3 linked regions of the Saccharomyces cerevisiae S288C genome follow. The protein of the gene in region 1 interacts with the protein of each later gene in a pairwise test. Each region holds a gene or a part of one and is shown on either strand. Other genes may lie near its edges.

Region 1 (4,211 bases):
TATTTTTTGGGCATTTTTCATCTAAACAGTTCTCTTCTAGGAGTGTGGTAGTATTGTAAGCTCTCGGCTGGCTCGCGGTTCTACGTGCTCTCATAGTATCTATGCTACTCTCATAACTCTCTGACGTATTATAAGAATGTATTGTTGAAGCAGATGATTGGCTATCTAATGGATTTGAACCACGAGTTGCCTGTGACTCTTCGCTTTGAGTGCACGCAATAGTATTTCTTGCCTTCACCTGAACTGGTTTTGTAATCTTTGAATTCGAAGAAGTGTCTGGTAGTGACAGGGGAGCTATACTATTTGTTGATCTCCTTGAAATTGGTGGTACGTCTGCGTTTTCACCCTTTGTACCTATAGCTTCAGTGAGACTATCGCGAGCGGTGTACTTATTGTTGAAAAGCTGTTGTTCGTTTGAGAAGAAACGCTCGCTAGTATCTGTATTAGTTGTGTTTGCACTTACTGCGGGCTGTGTCTTTGTCGTTTCTGAAACCCTAACGGCGCTTTCATCGTCGTTGTACTCGAAATCGCTTTCAATCAGTCGAAACCCCCCCAAATTGAAAATGCAAATTAGAAACATTGTCAGAAATATAATGACGTTAGCCACACCTTTGTTACCTTCTTCTTCCGAAAATACAAGCCCTTGGTCCATAGATTGTAAATATGCAATTGGTAAATCACTTATATTTGGAAACATACCACCGGCAAGAATACCACCGTACCATTGTTTAGGAACAGGCAGGAATAGCCTAACAACGTATGCAAAAAAGAACCCAGAACCAAATATTAGGAGGGCAGACAGACAGATAATTCCCACAGATTTGATGTCTTTATCTTCAATATTAGCGACAATCTTGTTGAATGACAGAGAGGGTAGTAAAACTGTTAGCACGATATCAGAAATAATTCTTGTTGCTTCAACCGTAAGAATTCCCATTTTAGCCATCAGAAAGCCGACTCCTATAATCAAATAAATCTTGATTATCGGCTTAACTGACACCCATATCGCTTGACCCAGAGTAATGTGCACCATCTGATGAAAATTTGAGGTTTCAATCCCTTTCTCTGTTTGATTCTATAACTTCTCCAAAAAAATTGCGCTGACGCTAATTAGTCACTGTTTATATCTTTTTTAGCGATGATTTGTAACAATATGCCATAAAAGCGTTCTCTAACTGCGGAAGTGATGAGAATTGAATAGTTTTATTCAGAAGGCAATATATCCTAATATGGCACAAAAAGGCAACTTGTATGCACAAAATGAGCATAAGAGTTCAGGCAGAACGTTGTGCTCTTGATCCAAAGGTTAAAAGTCATCGAGTAGGAAGATATTGTAACCTTCGCGCAAACCGCAGCCGCAGCGGGTCACGTGGTCGCGCAAATGATGATGAGGGCGCGGTCTAACTTTCCAAACGAGGTTACCAACAATTCTCGGACAGATAAAGCATTAGAATAGGGTGGCAACGCCTTTACGGTTAGCTTGTTCATTGTGATTGGTTTGTGTATCTTTTCTTGGCTTTTTATGCCCACGAGACATAAAGTATACGAAGCTGTTATACTATTCGTGATCCAGGGCAAAAATTTAGCATCATTAAGGCATATATATCGCAAATAGTGGGTTGCACAAGGCTTTCAATAAACAGTGTCATATGTTTCTCTAGCTCTGTCGGTTTGTTGGCTATAAAGAGTTTGTCTAGTAATCGCCGTCTTTTCTTGGGACCATTAACACAGACAAGGACATTGAAACTTGGCTATAAGTTCCGTCAAAGGGGGAAAAAATTGCTTTGGAGAAGGAATAAAAAGATGAATAGTCAAGGTTACGATGAAAGCTCTTCCTCTACTGCTGCTACTAGCGGTCCTACTTCTGGAGACCCACGAATGGGTAAGAAACAACGGTTTATGAATCTCATAAGAACCACAAAGGATGTTTATATTCCTAACCTGACGTCATCCATTTCTCAAAAGACAATGGATGGCATCAGGAGCACTACGAATTCCTTCGAAGGTTATAATGACTTGCCTATGGAATTGCCACATAATACCACGATAACATATTTTCCAACGTATACCACAACTAATTTGGTTGACCCTGACGGTTTGAGTGCGCCTCGGAAAGATTTTGAAACTACTGTCAGATGTGCTGTTTCTTATCCAGGAAATCCTACAAGCAGGAGAAATAGGTGGTTGCTTTCTCTTTGTAAACAATATCTTAGAACTGGAACGGCGGAGGCCGATGTTGCACCTGTTGTTCCCCCTCATCTCGAAGAGGATTCTGGAGATTTAAACGACTCCCAATCAAGTATAGAAAGTTCTTTGTCTTCAAAGAGCGAAAATAGGTATTCACATATGGGCATCCAAGAGGAAGATGTTCTGAATGAGAGAATTCAAGGATTCCTGTCCAAAAAAGTTCCTAATACTCCAGTGGTGGTTGACCTATTGCCCAAAGATAAGCTCAGAGGGGATACGGCTTCCTTTTTTGGTACCACGGACTCTTATGGTAATTTACTAATCAAGGCAGAAACAGATTTTTTACCGTCCAAGATTAATATTACATTAGATACCCCTATAGAAGGCCATGCAGATCCCATATCTGAAACATTTCCGGCCAATTATGTCTCGCCCTACGGTATTGGTTTAATCAGTGATATTGACGACACCATCAAGCATACTGGCGTTACGGGTGACAGGAGATCGATGTTTCGTAATGTTTTCATCCATGATGTTCAATCGTGGGTAATAGATGGTGTTCCTCTTTGGTACAAAACTTTACATGATGTCGCAGACGTTGATTTCTTTTATGTTTCTAATTCACCCATCCAAACTTTTACTCTTTTGAAACAATATATTTGCGCCAATTTTCCTCCGGGTCCAATTTTTTTGAAACAATACTCTGGTAATTTCTTTTCCACTATCATGACTTCAAGTGCGAATAGAAAAATTCAGCCGATTGCAAATATCTTAAAGGATTTTCCCAAAAAAAAATTTATTTTGGTCGGTGATTCTGGTGAACATGACTTAGAAGCGTATACCACTACGGCTTTACAATTTCCGAACCAGATTCTGGCTATTTATATAAGATGTTGCTCTAATTCCATGAGTGATGTCCCATCGCATGATGAAGAAGTTATGAATGAAGTGAACAATATCATCGAATTACAACAACGGCCCATGCAAATGACCAAGTCTACCGTACGTACCAGGAGAAGACCACCACCACCTCCCATTCCTTCCACTCAAAAGCCATCGTTGACAGAAGAGCAAACCGAAAGTATAAGAATGTCACGCCGTAATAAAGATGAGAACAATGCTAAAAGAGTTGCCCCACCACCGTTGCCGAACAGACAGTTACCTAACTTAGACGCTAATACTTACTATGTACCATCCTCACAAAATGACTATGGCATGTATGGTGCTTTCATGGATAAAAAAGCAGATGAATGGAAGAGAAGAGTAATGGACTCAATTCAAAAATTGAGCAATCAAGACACCACATTGATGTTCTTTTCGGATCCGGCATTAAGTTTGGAAGACAGTATTCGCAGAATTAGGGAGAAGTATTCAAACTAAATACACTGTTATTTATATACATCGGGAGGGAGTTTAAAAATTGTATACACTAAAGTGACCTTATGAATTGGAGCCATTTTCAACGTTTTAGAGTGATGTTGCATCCTTTTCATCAGATCGGGAAATTAAAAAAACGGTTATAGAAGGGCTAAATGTAAATATGTAAATTTTATGAAGTCAAGAGTAAAGAAAATCTTCGGTTGCCGATCAAATACACTCTTACAAAATACCCTAAACTCAGTTTATCTTTCCATTCCAACTGATTATCGCGTACGCCTTGGTGACCAACCATACCCTAAAATGTCAATTTCCGGGGCGGAAGGGGTCCTTAAACTGCAAAGCCTCTTCCCATGTAAATAAAATAAATCCGTAGAATTTATTAAATATTGTCATATTATAAGTCGGGAAAGGCCTTCTGAATGCACGTATATTGACCAAATAGAGTTAGATTCAAATTATTTATTACATTTTTTCAGCATCGAAGTTAAGTAGAATGGATAAACATACAGCAGCTATTCCAACATTAACTATCAAAGTAGTCTTACTCGGAGAATCTGCTGTCGGGAAGTCCTCAATAGTCCTCAGGTTTGTATCTGACGATTTTAAAGAGAGCAAAGAACCTACTATTGGTGCCGCATTTTTAA
Region 2 (3,168 bases), on another chromosome or scaffold:
TGGAGGATGAAGAATTTATCCCAATATTAATGGAGTTTAAAGAAATCGACACTTGCATTAAGACAAGTGCCAAGACACAGTTTGATCTTAACCAAGCGTTTTATCTTTGCCAAAGGGCTATAACACACCCAATATCACCTTTATTTGATGCCATGGTAGGTGAACTAAAGCCATTGGCTGTCATGGCTTTAAAAAGAATTTTTCTTTTAAGCGATTTAAACCAGGACTCATATTTAGATGACAACGAAATCTTGGGCTTACAAAAAAAGTGCTTCAATAAGAGTATCGATGTAAACGAACTGAATTTTATTAAAGATTTGCTTTTGGATATTTCCAAGCACGATCAAGAGTACATTAACCGCAAGCTATACGTACCGGGAAAAGGCATCACCAAAGATGGTTTCCTTGTACTGAACAAAATATACGCTGAAAGGGGGAGACACGAAACTACATGGGCTATCCTAAGAACTTTCCATTACACAGATTCCTTGTGTATTAATGACAAAATTCTCCATCCGAGGTTGGTTGTCCCTGACACTTCCAGTGTGGAATTGAGCCCCAAGGGCTACAGATTTCTTGTAGATATTTTTTTGAAGTTTGATATCGACAATGATGGTGGTTTGAATAATCAAGAATTACATCGTCTATTTAAGTGCACACCAGGGCTGCCTAAACTATGGACCTCAACGAATTTCCCCTTCTCCACTGTCGTAAACAACAAGGGTTGCATCACCTTACAAGGCTGGCTAGCACAATGGAGTATGACGACTTTCTTGAACTATAGCACAACTACCGCTTACTTGGTGTATTTTGGCTTTCAGGAAGATGCAAGACTAGCCCTACAAGTAACCAAGCCAAGGAAAATGAGACGCCGTTCCGGGAAACTTTACAGATCCAATATCAATGACAGAAAAGTGTTCAATTGCTTTGTCATTGGAAAGCCATGTTGCGGCAAAAGCTCTTTGCTAGAGGCCTTCTTGGGCAGATCTTTCTCGGAGGAGTATTCTCCGACAATCAAACCAAGAATTGCAGTCAATAGTTTAGAACTCAAAGGTGGGAAACAGTACTATTTGATTTTGCAAGAACTTGGAGAACAGGAATACGCCATACTAGAGAATAAGGATAAGTTAAAAGAATGTGACGTAATCTGTCTAACATACGATTCCAGCGACCCAGAATCATTCTCCTACTTAGTTTCGCTTCTAGACAAATTCACACATTTACAAGATCTACCGTTGGTATTTGTAGCTTCTAAGGCAGATTTGGATAAGCAGCAACAAAGGTGTCAAATCCAACCAGATGAACTGGCAGACGAGCTATTTGTGAACCACCCACTGCACATATCATCCAGATGGCTAAGTTCCCTTAATGAATTGTTTATTAAAATCACAGAAGCTGCTCTTGATCCTGGCAAAAACACTCCGGGATTGCCAGAAGAAACAGCAGCAAAAGATGTCGACTACAGACAAACGGCTCTCATTTTTGGGTCCACTGTTGGATTCGTAGCACTATGTTCCTTTACGTTAATGAAATTATTCAAATCATCAAAATTCTCAAAATAATTAATGCCCAAATTTCTATATTAGGGAAGTGTTGCATTTCTATGATATCTGGCCTAAGGCGGAGCCCTTTTTTTCTTTCCGATAAAAAATGCCAAACCACGCTCATTTGCAAGAAACCTTCAAAGGGTGATAAGGTCTCAAGACTCAGTAGACTTAAAGTTTTCCACTACGTCTAACTACAGCAGAACAAAATTATTTCAATCAAATGGCATCTAATCAACCTGGCAAGTGTTGCTTTGAAGGAGTTTGTCACGATGGAACACCCAAGGGTCGTCGTGAAGAAATCTTCGGTTTAGATACTTATGCAGCAGGCTCTACATCTCCCAAGGAAAAAGTTATAGTTATCTTGACAGATGTGTATGGCAATAAATTCAACAATGTTTTATTAACGGCCGACAAATTTGCTAGTGCTGGGTACATGGTCTTTGTTCCCGATATTTTATTCGGCGATGCTATCTCATCGGACAAACCAATTGATCGTGATGCCTGGTTTCAAAGACATTCTCCTGAAGTCACCAAGAAAATTGTTGATGGATTCATGAAGTTGTTAAAACTTGAATATGACCCAAAGTTTATTGGCGTTGTGGGTTACTGTTTTGGTGCAAAGTTTGCCGTCCAACACATTAGTGGCGACGGGGGTCTTGCCAATGCTGCAGCCATTGCACATCCATCTTTCGTCAGCATCGAGGAAATTGAAGCAATTGATAGCAAGAAACCAATATTGATTTCAGCAGCGGAAGAGGATCACATCTTTCCGGCAAACTTAAGACACTTAACGGAGGAAAAATTAAAGGATAATCACGCTACTTACCAGTTAGACCTCTTCAGTGGTGTGGCTCACGGGTTTGCAGCAAGAGGCGATATATCCATACCTGCCGTAAAATATGCGAAGGAGAAAGTCTTGCTCGACCAAATATACTGGTTCAATCATTTTTCGAATGTTTAAGAGGGAAGAGCTCTTCTTACGTTAACCGTTATATACATATATATATATATTGAGCACTTTATATTATCGGTCAGTTTCATAAATTCGTGGCTATATAATATTAATTAATTGATGAAATGAATAGGTAGGAGTTTGGAAAGAAAATTTTTAAGCAAAGTCATTGCCAAACAAAAAGTCATAATCAAATAAATCCAAACCTCCAAAATAACCTGGAAAAGGAGTATTATTCGCTTGGCCTCTATCGAAACCATTAGGAAGTTGTGATCCAGATGAGTTATCGACAATTGGTGTAGCATTGATTGAATTGTTCAAGTTATTCATCCCGGCTATTGGCGTTTGCTCTTTTGAACCACCACCCGCCAAAGGACCCTGACGTAAACCACTGTTGTAGTCCAAGCTCTGACCAACTGCAGCGGCCGATGATAGTTTTTCTAAATTATCTAAGGATGAACTCCATGTCTTTGTGAAGGTAGGAACAGCATTTCCGAATGGTTCGCCGTTGGTTAAGTCAATTGTGTTTACAGGCGGCTTCAATCCTGAAGAAATTTGAATCTCTTTTTTGATATTACGGTTCAGCTCATCTATATCTTCAACGCTAAAATTCGCAACGTGATTGCATGCCATCAATTCCTCTAATAGCCTATCCTTTTTGTCCAGTTT
Region 3 (3,271 bases), on another chromosome or scaffold:
TAGTGATTGAGGTTTCTAACTTATACAAATTGGGAAGTTTTTTGATCCCGCGTTCAAGAAAGAAAGAATGGTTTAGGGACGTTGAGGAACTGGTGGATACCAATCTTGACTCCGGAGCTCATATAAATGTCGTCAACAGGATATACCACGTATATGGCAGGTTTTTAATCCATTAGCGTATAGCCTGCTGGGGAAGAAGAAAGGGAAGATATTGAATATATTCTTAATGTATTTTTTGTACAGACGTAAATATAAAGAAATCAACGCAAAATCGACGCCTTTTTACTTTTTATACTTTTTTACTAAAAAGACAGATTTTCTCGCTCATATCATAAGTGATGTACTATTATCCTCCATATACGATATATCTGTTTAAAAAAAAAGAAAAAAAAAGGTTACTTAAATTCATACTCATTAGAAAAAAATTCTAGGGATAACAACACCAAAGGTAGAACTTCGTTCAATTTATGAAAGGTTTGGCCATAATGGAGAACAAATGAATGAAGTATATAAAGAGAAAAACGACTTAAAAGATATTATTAACAATATCTGACCCAATACTAGCGCCTGCCCCAAAAATGGCGGCATTACCCAATTTGCTACCAAAGCTCTTCAAGTGGCTATGTGAGCTCTGATGTTGTTGTTGTTGTTGTTGTTGTTGGGGAGGAGGAGCTTGTTGCGGCTGTTGTTGAGGCTGCTGATAATAATTTGTGGAAGGTGGAGGAAATGGCTGCTGTTGATAAGATGATGCGGCACTATTTTGCGTGGGGATTTGTTGTAATTCTTGAGCTTTATACTGTGGAGGTGGTGGAAGATTGGATGGACCGTTAGACCCAGAGAAAGCTGGCTTGACATAGTTTGCTGGGAAAATACCGGTACGGCCATTACAGCTACCCTTGTACCACTCTGGAGATAATTTTTCTAAAAGTTGGACCTTGTCACCTGGTTTTAAGCCCAAATCACCATCTTGTTGAGGATCAAATTGATAAAGAGCTTCGACATATTCCAAGGAAGCTGGACTGGCGTTGCGGGGTGCATTGGCAGGATCCCATTTTGCCGGCAAGCTCTTATTTATTTGATCGTAAACGTCATTTGAAATGACATTTGACCCTTTTAGAAAATCCAGTTCTGTCCTAATGTTTGTTAAGGAACGATTAATCAATGAAGCAGACATTTTTGAAATATCAGATTGCCTTCTTTCCTAATGTTCTTGTGTTTGCGCCAATGTGGGCACTTTGCCTATTGTCTCAACCGATTTGAGGTTCGACTATATATGCAGCTTACAATATCCATCCCCGCCTCGAAGGAGGCTCGGTTAATCACGCTGCACGAACGAAAACAATAGTTAAAGAAACGTTTAGAACAATCTAGCGCTTTGAAGAAAGAGTATTAGGCTCTTTACGTGAAGGATGGCACATTCTCATTCAAAAGTTGCTGCTAACTTTTATCATCAAATCAGTAAACCCCTTCTTGTTTTTTCTTGACAGAAGCTTTCACATAACGGAACCAACCATGGAATAACTTAGCACCACATCGAAAAGGATTTGGACTACTGCGCAACAAAGTGGGACCCATGTAGACATAGAAAATAAACCAGATCTATAGATCGCACCTATTAAAAACCCCATAACTGTACCAGTCGTCAAGCCTTGAACGCCTCCGTATAAGACGTACATGACGAATATCCATACACTTCCAGCCTTCTTTCTATGGGTCAAGCTAGCATACACACCAGCAGTAACGTAAAATGCACCATTAAAGATCAAAGTCCAGTACAGCGAAAATTTCCAAATGTCAGATATATAGTATAAGAATGCAGTATTATACTTCGAGTTGTTGATGGGCCAGTATAATGAGGGGAATTTTGGCGTTACATATCCAACAGGTATATCGTTATTTGTTACGAATGATCTGAGCACAGGGAACATGCGACAGAGTAGTGGATGTTTTTATTGTTAGTTTTGTGCCTATTATTTTCTTAAGCCACAGGGAGCGATGCCTGCATCCAGCCGTGGCGGATATAGTCTTGGTAATGAATAACATACCTCATAATACGGCAGGAAGTTGGAACTGATCTTGTTGGCAGTTTTTATCTTATACAGAAGCGTCAAGAGTAGGAAAAGGTTTTATTATTGCATATTTATCAACTTTCAGTATGTTTCTTTTTTTCTTCGGCAATGAAAGAGAAAACAATATAATTGAAGAAAGAGGAAATAGTGTCCGAAAGAGATTCTGATATGTATTATAAAGAGAAAGACAGTTCAGTAACACAGAATCGCCATGCGTGGAGAATGGCAGGAATTTAAGACACCTGCAGGCAAAAAGTATTACTATAATAAGAACACGAAGCAGTCTCGATGGGAAAAACCTAATTTGAAGAAAGGCTCTAACCTAGAAAGCAATGCGAAAGAATCACAGACAGAGAGGAAGCCAACATTTTCATTAGAACTGGTTAATGGTTGGCACTTAATAATATACAACGATGGTACAAAACTTTACTTTAATGATGACTCTAAGGAGTTCAAAAATGACATCAGTCAAGAGGACGACAGCAGGTGTCGCTCATTAATCGAGTCGTTAGATAAGGAAAAACTGGTTCTTCTGATTGGCGTTGCCAGAGGTTACACTATGCGGGAGGAGGACATTGATAAAATCCTCGAATCTTGCAACGAAGAGATTCATCTATTTAAAAGAAATCAAGACGAAGTTGAGAGAAAAGATGAGATCAGCGAAGAGGCGGGTGACGTAAAATCCCCTTTACAGGAAAGCCACACTGGGCTAGTCAGCGGGTATGGTTCATCTTCGGGGGAGGAAGACGAAGAGGAAGACGAAGAGGAAGACGAAGAGAATGAAGAACAAATTGTAAATCAAGATATCAGCATTATCGATGATCTGAATCGTATTGATACAGATGACATTGACGAGCGTAATATCTTCTTCGAATTATTCGATAGGTATAAACTAGACAAGTTTTCCACGTGGTCGCTGCAAAGCAAGAAAATCGAAAACGATCCTGATTTTTACAAGATCAGAGATGACACAGTTCGTGAAAGTCTTTTCGAAGAATGGTGCGGCGAGCGCAGTGGCAATGCCACCGCTGAAGAAAGCGATAGCGAAGATAATAGCGAAGACGATAGCGAAGTACTAGAACCAACAAAATACCATTATCTGGCACAAATTGTTGCTAATGCGGGAACAATCGCACCCGACACCATCCCACAAGATATAAGGAAACAACAAAAAGCGTTATACAAGGCCTACAAAATCAAGG

What was found.
Region 2: the proteins of APP1 (region 1) and AIM2 interact in a two-hybrid assay, tested with the Saccharomyces cerevisiae proteins (2 studies listed by BioGRID).
Region 3: the proteins of APP1 (region 1) and PIN3 interact in binary tests that used the Saccharomyces cerevisiae proteins (3 or more experiments, as listed by UniProt).

Annotation. Positions count from the first base shown.
Region 1 is NC_001146.8:445,808-450,018, forward strand, and holds APP1 (phosphatidate phosphatase APP1), read left to right. Parts: upstream 1-1,803; coding exon 1,804-3,567; downstream 3,568-4,211. Other genes in the region: YNL095C (uncharacterized protein), read right to left, coding at 1-1,033; Rab family GTPase YPT53, read left to right, coding at 4,061-4,211. UniProt on the Saccharomyces cerevisiae protein: Mg(2+)-dependent phosphatidate (PA) phosphatase which catalyzes the dephosphorylation of PA to yield diacylglycerol. May play a role in vesicular trafficking through its PAP activity at cortical actin patches.
Region 2 is NC_001133.9:51,195-54,362, reverse strand, and holds AIM2 (protein AIM2), read left to right. Parts: upstream 1-1,767; coding exon 1,768-2,508; downstream 2,509-3,168. Other genes in the region: ERMES complex Ca(2+)-binding regulatory GTPase GEM1, read left to right, coding at 1-1,562; oleate-activated transcription factor OAF1, read right to left, coding at 2,656-3,168.
Region 3 is NC_001148.4:832,468-835,738, reverse strand, and holds PIN3 (Pin3p), read right to left. Parts: upstream 1,175-3,271; coding exon 527-1,174; downstream 1-526. Other genes in the region: NCA2 (Nca2p), read left to right, coding at 1-176; MAY24 (May24p), read right to left, coding at 1,494-1,911, 2,046-2,050; URN1 (Urn1p), read left to right, coding at 2,281-3,271.